Linked DNA regions of Arabidopsis thaliana. The protein of the gene in region 3 interacts with the protein of the main gene of each other region in a pairwise test. Each region holds a gene or a part of one and is shown on either strand. Other genes may lie near its edges. The genes, in order: SNAP29, SNAP30 and SYP111.

The links.
Region 1: the proteins of SYP111 (region 3) and SNAP29 interact in a two-hybrid assay, tested with the Arabidopsis thaliana proteins (one study listed by BioGRID).
Region 2: the proteins of SYP111 (region 3) and SNAP30 interact in a two-hybrid assay, tested with the Arabidopsis thaliana proteins (one study listed by BioGRID).

The regions. Positions count from the first base shown.
Region 1 is NC_003076.8:2,514,719-2,518,793, reverse strand, and holds SNAP29 (synaptosomal-associated protein SNAP25-like 29), read left to right. Parts: upstream 1-1,727; 5' UTR 1,728-1,822; intron 1,823-2,036; exon of another isoform or gene 2,037-2,039; 5' UTR 2,040-2,099; coding exon 2,100-2,447; intron 2,448-2,532; coding exon 2,533-2,626; intron 2,627-2,715; coding exon 2,716-2,837; intron 2,838-2,936; coding exon 2,937-3,028; intron 3,029-3,062; exon of another isoform or gene 3,063-3,107; coding exon 3,108-3,207; 3' UTR 3,208-3,442; downstream 3,443-4,075. Other genes in the region: AT5G07890 (myosin heavy chain-like protein), read left to right, coding at 1-467, 552-672, 764-931, 1,017-1,076; AT5G07870 (HXXXD-type acyl-transferase family protein), read right to left, coding at 3,443-4,075. UniProt on the Arabidopsis thaliana protein: SNAREs, soluble N-ethylmaleimide-sensitive factor-attachment protein receptors, are essential proteins for fusion of cellular membranes.
Region 2 is NC_003070.9:4,749,534-4,753,655, reverse strand, and holds SNAP30 (soluble N-ethylmaleimide-sensitive factor adaptor protein 30), read right to left. Parts: upstream 2,225-4,122; 5' UTR 2,164-2,224; exon of another isoform or gene 2,076-2,163; coding exon 1,701-2,075; intron 1,598-1,700; coding exon 1,504-1,597; intron 1,301-1,503; coding exon 1,176-1,300; intron 1,093-1,175; coding exon 995-1,092; intron 912-994; coding exon 812-911; 3' UTR 652-811; downstream 1-651. Other genes in the region: PAP2 (Purple acid phosphatases superfamily protein), read left to right, coding at 1-162; AT1G13880 (ELM2 domain-containing protein), read right to left, coding at 2,689-3,818, 3,909-4,064. UniProt on the Arabidopsis thaliana protein: Vesicle trafficking protein that functions in the secretory pathway.
Region 3 is NC_003070.9:2,708,943-2,712,809, forward strand, and holds SYP111 (syntaxin of plants 111), read right to left. Parts: upstream 2,059-3,867; 5' UTR 1,868-2,058; intron 1,778-1,867; 5' UTR 1,769-1,777; coding exon 836-1,768; 3' UTR 583-835; downstream 1-582. Other genes in the region: NPQ1 (non-photochemical quenching 1), read left to right, coding at 1-445. UniProt on the Arabidopsis thaliana protein: Involved in cytokinesis. Acts as a cell plate-specific syntaxin, required for the fusion of vesicles at the plane of cell division.

The DNA.
Region 1 (4,075 bases), on a different chromosome or scaffold from region 3:
TTGTGTATGTCTAAATCCGAGCATTTGTTGTTGTTGCAAGAACTCGAGAGCAAGGAAATAGAACTACAGTGTTCGTCTCTTACATTGGAGAAACTGGAAGAGACCATCTCGTCCTTAACATTAGAGTCCTTGTGCGAAATAGAAAGCATGAAGCTTGATATAACAGCGTTGGAGCAAGCACTCTTTGACGCTATGAAAATCCAAGAAGAAAGCATCCAAGAAAAAGATCAATTAAAAGGAATAATCGAAGAGTCCCAGTTTCAGTCTCAAAGGGCAAAAGAGAATGTCAAGTACATCGAAAAGCAAAACGAAGACCTGAGGGAGAAATTTACTGCCTCTGAAAAGAGTATCAAAGATTTCTTTCAAAGTACTAAAGAACGGTTAGAAAGTGAAGATGAACAGCCTCTAAATGCAATGTGCTTCTTCGCTGAACTGAGCCATGTGCTTCCAGTGTCTAATGAAGTTCGGTAAGCTCCAGTTTAAGGCTAATTTATTAAGTCATCAAATTGAGTTATCCCCGTCCCTAATAATGTTGGTTTTGTGTCTCACAGCAATTGTTTTGATGCTATCATGAAGAAACTAGAACTTTCTCAGAATGTGAATTTGATTGATAAAGTGGAGGGTATGGGGAAACAGATACATCAGCACGAAGATGTTGTAAAGCAACTCAAAGTACTTTTGAAAAACTGAAGAACTCTATTTCCTTCCTTTGTTACCATTACAGAATCCAACTAGTTATACCTGCGGTTGTTGGTTTGTGCAGGAAGAACTGAAACAGGAGAAACTGAAGGCGAAGGAAGAAGCAGAAGACCTTACACAAGAAATGGCTGAATTAAGGTATAAGATGACATGTTTGCTTGATGAGGAACGCAATCGCCGTGTGTGCATAGAACAAGCATCATTACAGAGAATATCCGAGCTAGAAGCACAGGTACTACTTATGTAATGCTTCCTTGTTTTTGGTCGAATATGTGAAAATGGAATCTAATCTCTCTTTTCTTTCCTCTGTTGTTAAGATCAAGAGAGATGTAAAAAAGCCTGCTTCCAATGAAATGCTGCCTCTTCCTGGGTTATGAAAAGTCTTGAGCTTTGATGTTTACCTTTACACACATTTCTGAGTCTCATCCATGGGTTTTCTGTTGAAACTGAGTGTGGAAAGTGCTCGAGTGATTGAAAGACGGATTGCAAGTTTGGATGTTGATTTGTATAGAAATCAAATGGTAGGGTAGTCAGAAGAAATCCAGAGACTTGGAAGAGGTTTGGAGACGCAAACAAAAGAAGTTTGGGTTAAGAGTTTAGCTTTAGAGATTGATGTTTTCTTTATTCTGAGTGTACATAAAAATTGCTTGGAACAAACATTAGAAATAAAAGTCGTTCTAAGGTAATACATAATTGCATTTTCTTTGATGTCTTAACAAGTCTCTAAATATTTACTCTGCAGCAAATTGAAAATTGATCTCCAACCAATTCTTCCATACCTTATGTTCTTTTCCTCTTTATAAATTGAAATCTCAAACATTTTTCTTATCAAGTTGCTTTGATAAAATCTGTATACATTTTCTTTTTCTTTAACGATACCTGTACTTTTATCTAAAAGAAAACAAAAATAATTACTCTTGGTAGATTTTATTGATAAATAGTTTAATACAAGAAAGTAAATAAATAGGAACAAAAGAAAACTCTTTTTCAACAATTGTGTTTTTTTGCTAAGGTTTCTCACCAGTTTCCTCTATAACGGACTCCAATATTTGAACTCGTTAAAGCCTCTTCTTCCTATCAACCTTTCTCTCTCGGAACCTCTCAATCCTACTTCAATTTCCAGGTACTAATTCGTTTTTTTCTTTCTTCTCGTAATCTTCCAAGTCGATTTAGGTCTACTTTGATTGTTGGAAAATTGATCTTTTAGGAATCGATCGTTGATCAAAAGAGATAGCAGTTATAAATACTTGTTCTTGCTTTTTTTCAACTTCAAAGTTCAGTATCTTCTGGTAAATTTCGAATCAAGGATCAATAGCAATCTTAGTTTTGGATTTCTGCAGGAGAAGTTGTTTTCTTAGTTTTGGATTCTCTGATACAGTAGAATTTCCCCTGAACCTTCTATGGCTCCTAAGAATTCCAGCTGGAACCCTTTTGATGATGAGAAGGAGGCTGCTAAGAGTTTCAGTTTGAACCCTTTTGATGATGATGATGATGACAAGGAGGTTGAGAAAAGATTCACTTCATCCTTGAAGCCCTCGGGAGGTAAAGAGAACCAGACGGTTCAAGAACTTGAGAGCTACGCTGTGTATAACTCTGAGGAAACAACGAAAACCGTACAAGGGTGTTTGAAAGTTGCTGAAGAGATTAGATGTGATGCTTCTAAAACTTTGGTTATGTTGAATGAACAAGGAGATCAAATTACTAGAACACACCAGAAGACGGTTGATCTCGATCATCATCTTTCTCGGGTGAGTCACATACGACCAGAGAGGTGTTTTGCAATCTCTTTCTTGGGGATGATCTTTATTGTATGTTTTTTTTGTTTGGTTTCAGGGTGAGAAGATTCTTGGACGCCTCGGAGGTGTTTTTTCAAGGACTTGGAAGCCAAAGAAGTCTCGTTCTATAACTGGCCCTGTCATAACCAAAGGTTTATTCTTCTTTGGTTGATGATCTTTACTTCTAAGGAATGAGTCTTTTGCTTATTAATTTATCTAGCTATTCATATTTCCTGAGCAGGTGATTCACCTAAGAGAAAAGTTATCGACTTAAAGACTAGGGAAAAGCTGGGACTGAACCCTTCACTCAAACCAAAATCAAAAACACTTCCTGAAGCCGTTGATGCTTATCAGAAAACACAGGTTCGGATTCTCTCTTATGTTCCTTCTGGGGTTTCAAAAGTCGTCTCTTTTTGTTTGTTAACCAAGATTCTAAATATCATGCTGTGTTAACAAATGGAGATTGCAAAGCAAGATGAAGCCCTTACCGACTTAAGCGCTCTTCTTGGCGAGTTGAAAAATATGGCAGTGGACATGGGAACAGCAATCGAAAGGTTTTCCATCAAGTCTCTCTATATGTATACATATTCTCTAAGAGCTTTCTCGTTTCTGAAGGCAACACTGTAATCGCAGGCAAACCAATGAACTGGATCATCTTCAAGATAATGCTGATGAGCTCAACTACAGAGTTAAGCAATCGAACCAACGGGCTCGCTATTTACTCCGGAAGTAAAAGTAGCCAGAACTCTGTTCATAACCAAGCTCGTCCGCTTCTCCCCATTCTTCTGATGAATTTGTTGCTTAAAGTCAAACATAGATTTTCAATATATTAGTTCTTTTCTTAATGAAGTGGAAACATTTAACAACTGCAGAATACAGTTAGAGTAACAAGCAAACATTTGGTTCCAAAGATTTGTGTTTGAAATAAAGAATAACTTGAGTTTTGTGTCTGGAAAATATGAATAGGATCAGGTGGAAGAAGAGACAAGAGACATGAACTCTTGATCTGATTCCAAAGCTTCCATAAACTCTGGAAGTAGACATACTTCCAAATCTATACTTGCTCCTCCTTGTCTTCCTGGATAAGCTGATACCTTCCCGTCATACTTACCGCCATAACCGCTTCTAACCGCCACCGCTTTCCCCATCCCAAACTCGCTTCCGTACTTGTTAAACCTTGGAGAACTTCCCATGTGAACTATGTTCAAATTGGAAAGTCGATATGCTTGCAACGGTAAAGGAGACTTCAACATTTGATCTATTTCGTAAGAGATCTTTTCGCCAGTGTGTTCGGTAACAGCTTGATGCAGTTTCAAAGCAATCCATCCAAACTCATTCTCCAGTAGATTACCGATTTTAGTAGTCGTTTTCACAAGAGAGATGTAAACTCCAAATTGATTCGTCGGCAATGGTGGATTCATTCTTGATCTGTTTCCAGCAGCAAACCTGCAAGTAGTTTCTTGATCATTTGGTAGTTTTCTTGCTCTTGTAATGCTTCTCCATATCAATGCGGTCAGAGCCTGAAAAGAAGAGATCATTGTTGTTCCGCATTCTTGATTCGCCTTTGATTTCAGCGATCTCACTGTTTCTGATGAGAAATG
Region 2 (4,122 bases), 2.0 Mb from region 3:
ACACTTATGGGAAAATCAGAATCTAATGCTTTGTGGTATGCCAAAGGAGCAGGCTTGATGGTTGTGGGTGTGCTTTTAGGGTTCATTATCGGGTTTTTTACCCGGGGAAAGAAATCTTCGTCTGGAAACCGTTGGATCCCAGTCAAGAACGAGGAGACATAATCACATAATGTTGAACTGAGTCTATTATTTAGAGGCACGATTTGTATAGTATCCTTTTTTTCCCACGGTAAGAACCATGTTTCTTTACAACTACAGCTGGGAAGATATATAACATAAGTTTTTGTGCACTATAATAATAGTGATTCTTGTTACATAGTATGATTCATGTGTTTTTTTTTGAAGAATTTGCTGTAATTACAGATTGAAGAAGTTTTGCTGTAATTACATTATGTAGTGTATGAGAGTATATATACATTCAACAATTGTAGAGGCTAATCAATCGAGCATTGGAATGTTGATTATGCCAAAGCATAAGTGTAACCAATTATAGTATGGATTTGATGTTTTCTATTTTTGTTTGGTTATATGCTTTTTGAATATCAAAAGGTAAATTAGATTAATTTATTTGGATCGGTTTGATTTAGATTGGATCAATTCAATATATTAGGATTAAACACTCATGGAATATTGTCTGGAAAATTTAAGCTTGAGAAAAAAAATTGAATCAAATGCGTTAATATTGACAATTTTCATAGCAAAGAATGAATAAAGAAGAAAATCACAACTGTTCAAACGTAAAAAAAAGAAGAGAGAATGATACAATATAATATACATATAAGAACAATGGTATTTTGTGGAAGGTGTTTTCTTATTTGGAAAGCAAGTGACGTGCCCGTTGATTAGCTCCTTGAACACGAGAGTTAAGCTCATCAACATCGTCGCCGAGATGATCAAGAGCTTTGTTTTGCCTGCAAATTTGCCCCCAACAATAGTAAGTATTCTACAAACATAAGCATAAAATGTATGAAAGTATGTATTTGTGTTATCTGACTTGTCGATCTCAGATCCCATATCAACGGCCATGCTCTTAAGATCACCCAATATGTCACTTAAATCTGAAAGTCCATCGTCTTGCTTTGCCTTCTCTTGCTGCATTAAACATACACCTTTTAATACGTATTCTTAATAAAGAAAGCATATAAGATGCAAAAACTTGTAAAAAGAACACAAACCTCAACTTTCTGCAACGCATTTGTTGGTTGATCTAATGCTGGTTGACTGCTCGATCGTCCTTTTGCACCCAAACCAAGTTTCTCCCGCTCTTCCTTGTGATTCTCGCTCTTCTTCGACGGTTTATCTAAAATTTCGATAACTATATTAAACATGACCACCATACACATGATCAAGAGTCCTAACAACGTGAATACAATAAGGATTGAGATTATATGAGTTATTAACGGGCTAGGTATGAATCAACCCTTCTCTAAGATATTATAAGATACATGATCATCATAACATTATTTTATCCAATCAATATCAAGAGCTCGGAAGCTTTAAAACCTGGTGTGATCATAGGTCCTGTGATATTTTTAGTCTTCTTTGGTTTCCATGGCTTTGAAAACATTCCTCCTAAGTTGTTCAAAAGCTTCTCCCCCTGATCTCACAAACATTTTTTCTTATCAACGCTCCATAAAACAGAACATATAATTTCACATTTTCGTATCGAAGAAAGTAAGAAAAATTAAAAAAAGTTTTACCCGACTGAGATCTTTATCCATATCAACAGCCATTTCATGAGTCCTGTTGATTTGTTCACCTTGCTGATGCAACATTTCGAGCGTTCTTGCACCATCTGATCTTATATCTTCAGCGATCTTAAGACAATTATTAACACCTTTGGTTGTTTCTTCAGCTTTATAAACTGCATATTTTTCTAATTCTTCTGTCGTTTGGCTCTGCAGACCACCAGAATCGTTGAAACCGTTCTTGTATTTGTCGTCATCGTCGAAATCTGGTGTTATCAGGATTGGTTCTGAAGAAGTCCTTCTTCCTGCAGTGATTGTTCCTCCTTTGTTGTTTGATGATTCATTGGGAAGTTTATTGTTCCCCGGAGATTTGAAAAACCCAAACATCTATGTAACAATGAGGTGATGATGATTATCGATTAAACTGATAAAAAAGATTGAATCAGGAAGAAATAGAATTTGATGGGTTGGTTACCTGTGAAATCTCAAAGATTAGAAAAAAAAAGATTATAATCAAGAAAACTTCAGGGATTAGAAAAAAGAAAATGGTTATCCAAAAATAGAAACCTGTGACAGAGATATGTAATAACGTCCTATGCTTCTCCCTATTTTGGGACCGTTAAGAGTGTAATAACCAAACACTGTTTCAGAGAGAAGGCTTATGTCTTAACATGTTTAATGGAGAAATGTCAAGACCCATATTAATTTCGTTTTGCTTGTGCATATAGGAAGTGAGATATGTATACTAAAAGATATGAACAAAAGTTAGTTTATTAAACAGTTGAAGAATTTTTTTTATCTTCTTACAACAAAATCTAAAAATAGTAAATAAAAATAACCTAAAGTATCAAAAACACATAAGTTTCCACGGCCATAAAACTATACACGACATGCCTCCCTCAAAACTTCCAACTTGAGATTTTCTTAAATAATGCATTTACATACAGAAGATTCAGAACTTGGAGCAGAGTAGCAATGGACATGGGAGACAATTCTTCATTTACTTCCCTCTGGAGAAATCATCCCATGGGTGGTCTTGACCAAAGATTTCGTCGATAATGTTTGAAGTTGGAAGCAGATCAATGTTCTTAGTCCAACAATGATCTGGCAGTATTGAATCACAAGGATCAAATGAATACGACTGATCCACAAGATCATTGCAGTGGCGCCAGTAATTCCCAATGTTGGATTCTTCTCTATTTCTAACTGGACATCGAGAGTAGATTGCGTTGGACTGATTCTCAAAGGACATGTACGAATCTTCATTAGCATTAACCTCTTCTCCTTCGTCTCTTGAGAGGCTTTTTTCGGCTTTGTCATCTGATGGAGTTTCAGCACCATAAAAGGTGTTGTCATACTCTACTTGCCACTCATCATCATCACTATCAACATCCAGGCTTTTAGAACGGTTCTGGATAGCTCGTCTTCGCAGGATAAAGACATTGAAATAATAGCTCACAATTTCCTTCATGGTTCGTGAAGGAAACGCAGACTTTAGGTGTTTCCAGAAATCCCGGTCCATTGAAACCGGATTGGAGTAAACAATCTCATGAAACAGATCTTCCTCGTCTTCAGTTAGTCTAGCAGCAACTTCCTCCCCCATTTCACAAAGACCTATATCCAGACACCTGTCGTACCCAATAGTTGCAAACAAATCTTCCCTGTTTTCCATAATATGCTGCTGTACACATCTGATGGAACCTTTATCCAGGCAAATGCATTCCTTTCTTCCTTTACCAATCTTGCAGACCTCGGTTTCACAGTCAGGCATTGGAATTACGCACTTCCCTGTCACTTGTTCTTCATCGTAACCAACACCTTGACCCGACTGATCATTTGCCTCTTCCTTGACACATTCAGGAATATCAGCCTGGTAATCTGACCCGATTGGAACCGTTTTTCTAGGAGAAATCGGACACCAATAGCCATCTTCTTCCCCAGAGCAAACCGGTCTCCAAGGTATATCTGACTCAGGAGATTCATGAGAAATGGTAGACTGAATCGTAGCTCCAGACTGAGAATCCTCCTCAGACAAACCAGTTGTGATCCAAGAGAAAGGCGCATTGGTCTCAAACCCCTTGTCAACGTTATCCTCACATTTATACCCGTAGAGATCACTTATATCATATCCTGCTAAATGATAAAGACAGATAATCATTAAGCGAACTGCTTAAGTTTATCATGTGAACCCCTCTGCAAGAAACAAGGTGTTATTATTACCTACGACACCTGGCTTCTCCAGTGAAAGACGATATGGAACTCCTTCATCTAGTTTGGCCAGCTTATTACAGTAACTAATCTGTCTTCCATTCTTAACGTTGAGCTCTTGAACATCTTCAGCGTCAAACGTTCGCTTGAAACCCATTCTTAAAAAACCTGTAAAAGGAGAACCAAAGCCATTAGTTACTTGGCGTGAAGGTTATCTGTGTGAACC
Region 3 (3,867 bases):
CGATGCTTGGGATGGATATGGTGGTGCAGTTGTATACACGAGAAGTTCTGTATTACCCAATAGCATTATACCAGAACTCGAAAAAGCAGCAAAAAGCATAGGCAGAGACTTCAGCACATTCATTAGAACGGATAACACATGTGGTCCTGAACCTGCGCTCGTGGAGAGAATTGAGAAGACAGTGGAAGAAGGTGAAAGGATAATCGTAAAAGAGGTTGAAGAGATAGAAGAAGAGGTAGAGAAGGAAGTGGAGAAGGTCGGTAGGACTGAGATGACCTTGTTCCAGAGATTGGCTGAAGGATTTAATGAACTGAAGCAAGACGAGGAGAATTTCGTGAGAGAGTTAAGTAAAGAAGAGATGGAGTTTTTGGATGAGATCAAAATGGAAGCAAGTGAGGTTGAAAAATTGTTTGGGAAAGCTTTGCCAATCAGGAAGGTCAGGTAGAAACAAGAACCACCATTGTTGTACAAACTATATTATACATACTGTGTTCGGTTCATATAAAGTAATATTTTTGTACACAGTCATCATCATTCCATAACAATTGGATACAGAAAACACAAGGATTAAACATCCTTTGAGCGAAACAAACAACGATTGGTAAACATAGTACCTCAAGAAGAGCTGAAAGTGTTAACAATGGGGATGACAACATTTAGAATGATCAAGAGGATTAAGTCAACTGGGTATCTTTGTAAACATTCACCATTTCATTGAAATTGGATACAAGACACGAAAGGATTAAGACATCCTTGAAGAACACAAAAGGATTAAGACATCCATTGGTACAAAGAAGAGCGAAACAAAACAAAAGGAGTGAACATAGCCAGTATCTCAAGAAGAGCTGAAACTGGTAATGATGGGGATGACAACAATGAGAATGATCAAAAGCAGCACAATGATACCAATGCACATCCATTTTCTGCTGTTTCTCTGATGACTCTTTGCAGTCTTCAGCTCATTAGCTCCATCAGCCACGTAATGGCTCGCATTAATCACATGATGCTCGATCTCGTCCATCTGTTCACCTTGCGATTCAACCATCACAGCCATATCAAGAAACACTTGGTGAAGCTCCAACAGACTCTTCTCAATCTCCTTTGCTGCATCATACCTGTCTTGAATCTCAACCACAGTTTCCAAGACCTTTCCTTTACCATGTTCCTGAATTGCTCGCGTGAGAAACTCTTCACCTCCAGCGTTATCAGTGATGATCTTCTCAATCATCTCATCATTAGCATGTTCTCCAGTGACAGTGAAGTACCTTCTCTCAACAGTCTCCTTGTACTCACTCATCATCTTTTGCCTCAGCCCCTGAAACTCCATCATCACTTCCTTAAGTTTCTTCCTCAGCCCATTAGTCACAGCGGTTCTGCTCCTATAAACCGGAGTCCCAGAGAGCCTTTTAATCTCCTTGTTGGCTTTATCCATCTCTTCCAGCTTCGACTTAATCGATTTCGCCTTCCTCAAACCAGACACAATCTCGTTAGAGATCTTGTTACGAAGAGACTTCACAGACTCTGCCTTGTGAACACCTTTACTCTCTTCATGGTACTGTTCGATCCGAGCCAGCGTCTCACTAATCAAACCCATCTCTGCTTTCACATACTCTGCTTCTTCTAAGAAAGATGACAGATTCTCATCCATCTTGTCTGCTTTCGTAGAAGCCATCTCAAGATCAAAGTCAGGTCCTGCTTCCATATCCTTCATCGCTGCTTTTTTCAAGTCAACGTAACTCATAAACGATTTCGTCATCAAGTCGTTCATCTTTTTCACCTGAAAGTCAACAATTTTACAAGAATCAGAGAGAATCGCAGTGATTGTAACAGAATCAAACAAGAGAAAATCAAAGAAAATACAACATACTCTTCTGATTAGTGTGTTCTTCTAGATCCACAAAGTTTCTGCCCAGAAAGTGAGAGAGTAGTGTGAAGTAAAGCTTACTATAGAATTTGATTAGCGATTTGTGAGATGAGAGAAAGCTTTCTTTCTAATATAAGAAAAAGGAGAAATTAGCCGTTACTGTGATTTCTTCGCCCCAACGGCTATATTTTGGCGATGTATCCGTTGTCGTCCATTTGTCTATCTGTTTCTGTTTCTTCAAATCTATTTTTAAATTCATGTGAATTTCTTTCGAAACTTTAAAATAATATAGGGACTAAATTGTAATTAGATGTATGTTTTAGTGCCGACGTGTGTGATTGAGACAGCTTTAAAGATATCGAAACTGAGAAGAAAATATAGGGACTAAATTGTAATTATGTGTATGACATCGCTTTTGTCGACAAATCATCATTGGTGACGATTTACGAAAGCAAAGAAGAGGTGTTCTTAGCTGCACATTTGTCACCATTTATACAAAAATTGTGGTTCTTGTGTTTTGTTTTTTATGTTGGAAAACTTATGGTATAGTTTCTTTTGTTACGATACACCTTAGTTGAACCATTCAAATTATTAGGATATTTTCAAATATATAATATTTTAATTCTAATTTCGTATGTAAACGACTCTCCAATAAAACATCTCCACTAGCTTGTTGGTCTCTAAACTTGAAATCAGTTTTTATTTTTCTTGTAATATTTTCAAAATTGTTTCAATATCGTAGACAAATTTTAAATAAAATGTACATCATATCTCTATAAACTTAATAATACCCAAAATTTTGACTAATCACATTAAATTCCTTATGATATTCGAATAAAAAAATAATTTAATAATATTTATTGTAGTCGCAATTCAATATTTATTCTGTAATGCTTGAAAAATGTTTTTAAAAACTGTGTCACTACATTACTATAACGTTAGTATGTACTAAATTTTGTAACGTTTCATGGTTATAAAATAGTATTAGTTTACCGACAAAAATATATAGATTACGTAACGCTTGTTTTACATTAAAACAAATTTGTTAGGATTGTTTTGTCTATTCTACATTCGTCACATTTGTTTTGTTTAAACTTTTTGTTTTCTAATTAAAAAATTATTCTGTTTTTGTAATTAAATATAGTAAATTTGTTTGCCGCCCAAAAAAATATTACATAACGCTTGTTTTACATTAAAATAAAGTTGCTTCGATTGTTTTGGCTGTTCAACTCTAGTCACATTTGTTACGTTTGTTCTACTTATTGTCGTGAATCGATCGAAAACTTGTGCAATGTGGAATTGAGGGGGTTAGATGTAAACCAAAAAACTAAAAAGGGCAATCTCCAATTATTTTGTTAAAGAGGTGGCAATTGCAAATCTCCAATAATATAAAGTTCATAAAAAAGGTTAAAGGAGAGAGTTGTGGTGGAGAGAGTGAGACCCACGTGGGTGATGTGTTGGCAAACTATCTTCCTTAAAATCCAAATCCATTTATCCATCACTACTTTTTTTTCTTTTGTTTGGTAGTAAAATCCTTCACTAGTTGATTGCAGATGACTAATAAAGTAATAATCTTTCATTTTGGTGGTTCATCGCCTAATTTGTTGTTTACTTGATTGATAAATGTTTGAGGATGAAACTGTATCATTTATTTTTCTCAAAATTGTTTGGTTCATGACCTATATAATCCATTTGTTTAATATTAATATAGGTAAATTTAAAATTCGTTACTTAAATTGGCTAAACATACTCTTCAAAATAATATATATCCACTTAACATAGTTAAAACTCTGTATTCAGATAAAAGCATGGTAAAAAACCAAACATATCCATTTAAATGTATTCAAAGTCATGAGAAAATTTCCTATACTTGTTCCTTTATATCTGCGAGAAGTCATGAACCTTATCCATTTATTAGTTTTCTTCTGACCGACTAAACCTGATAATCACTAATCCACCGTTAGATCTTAAAATTCCAAATCCAAAATGGACGGTCAAGATCA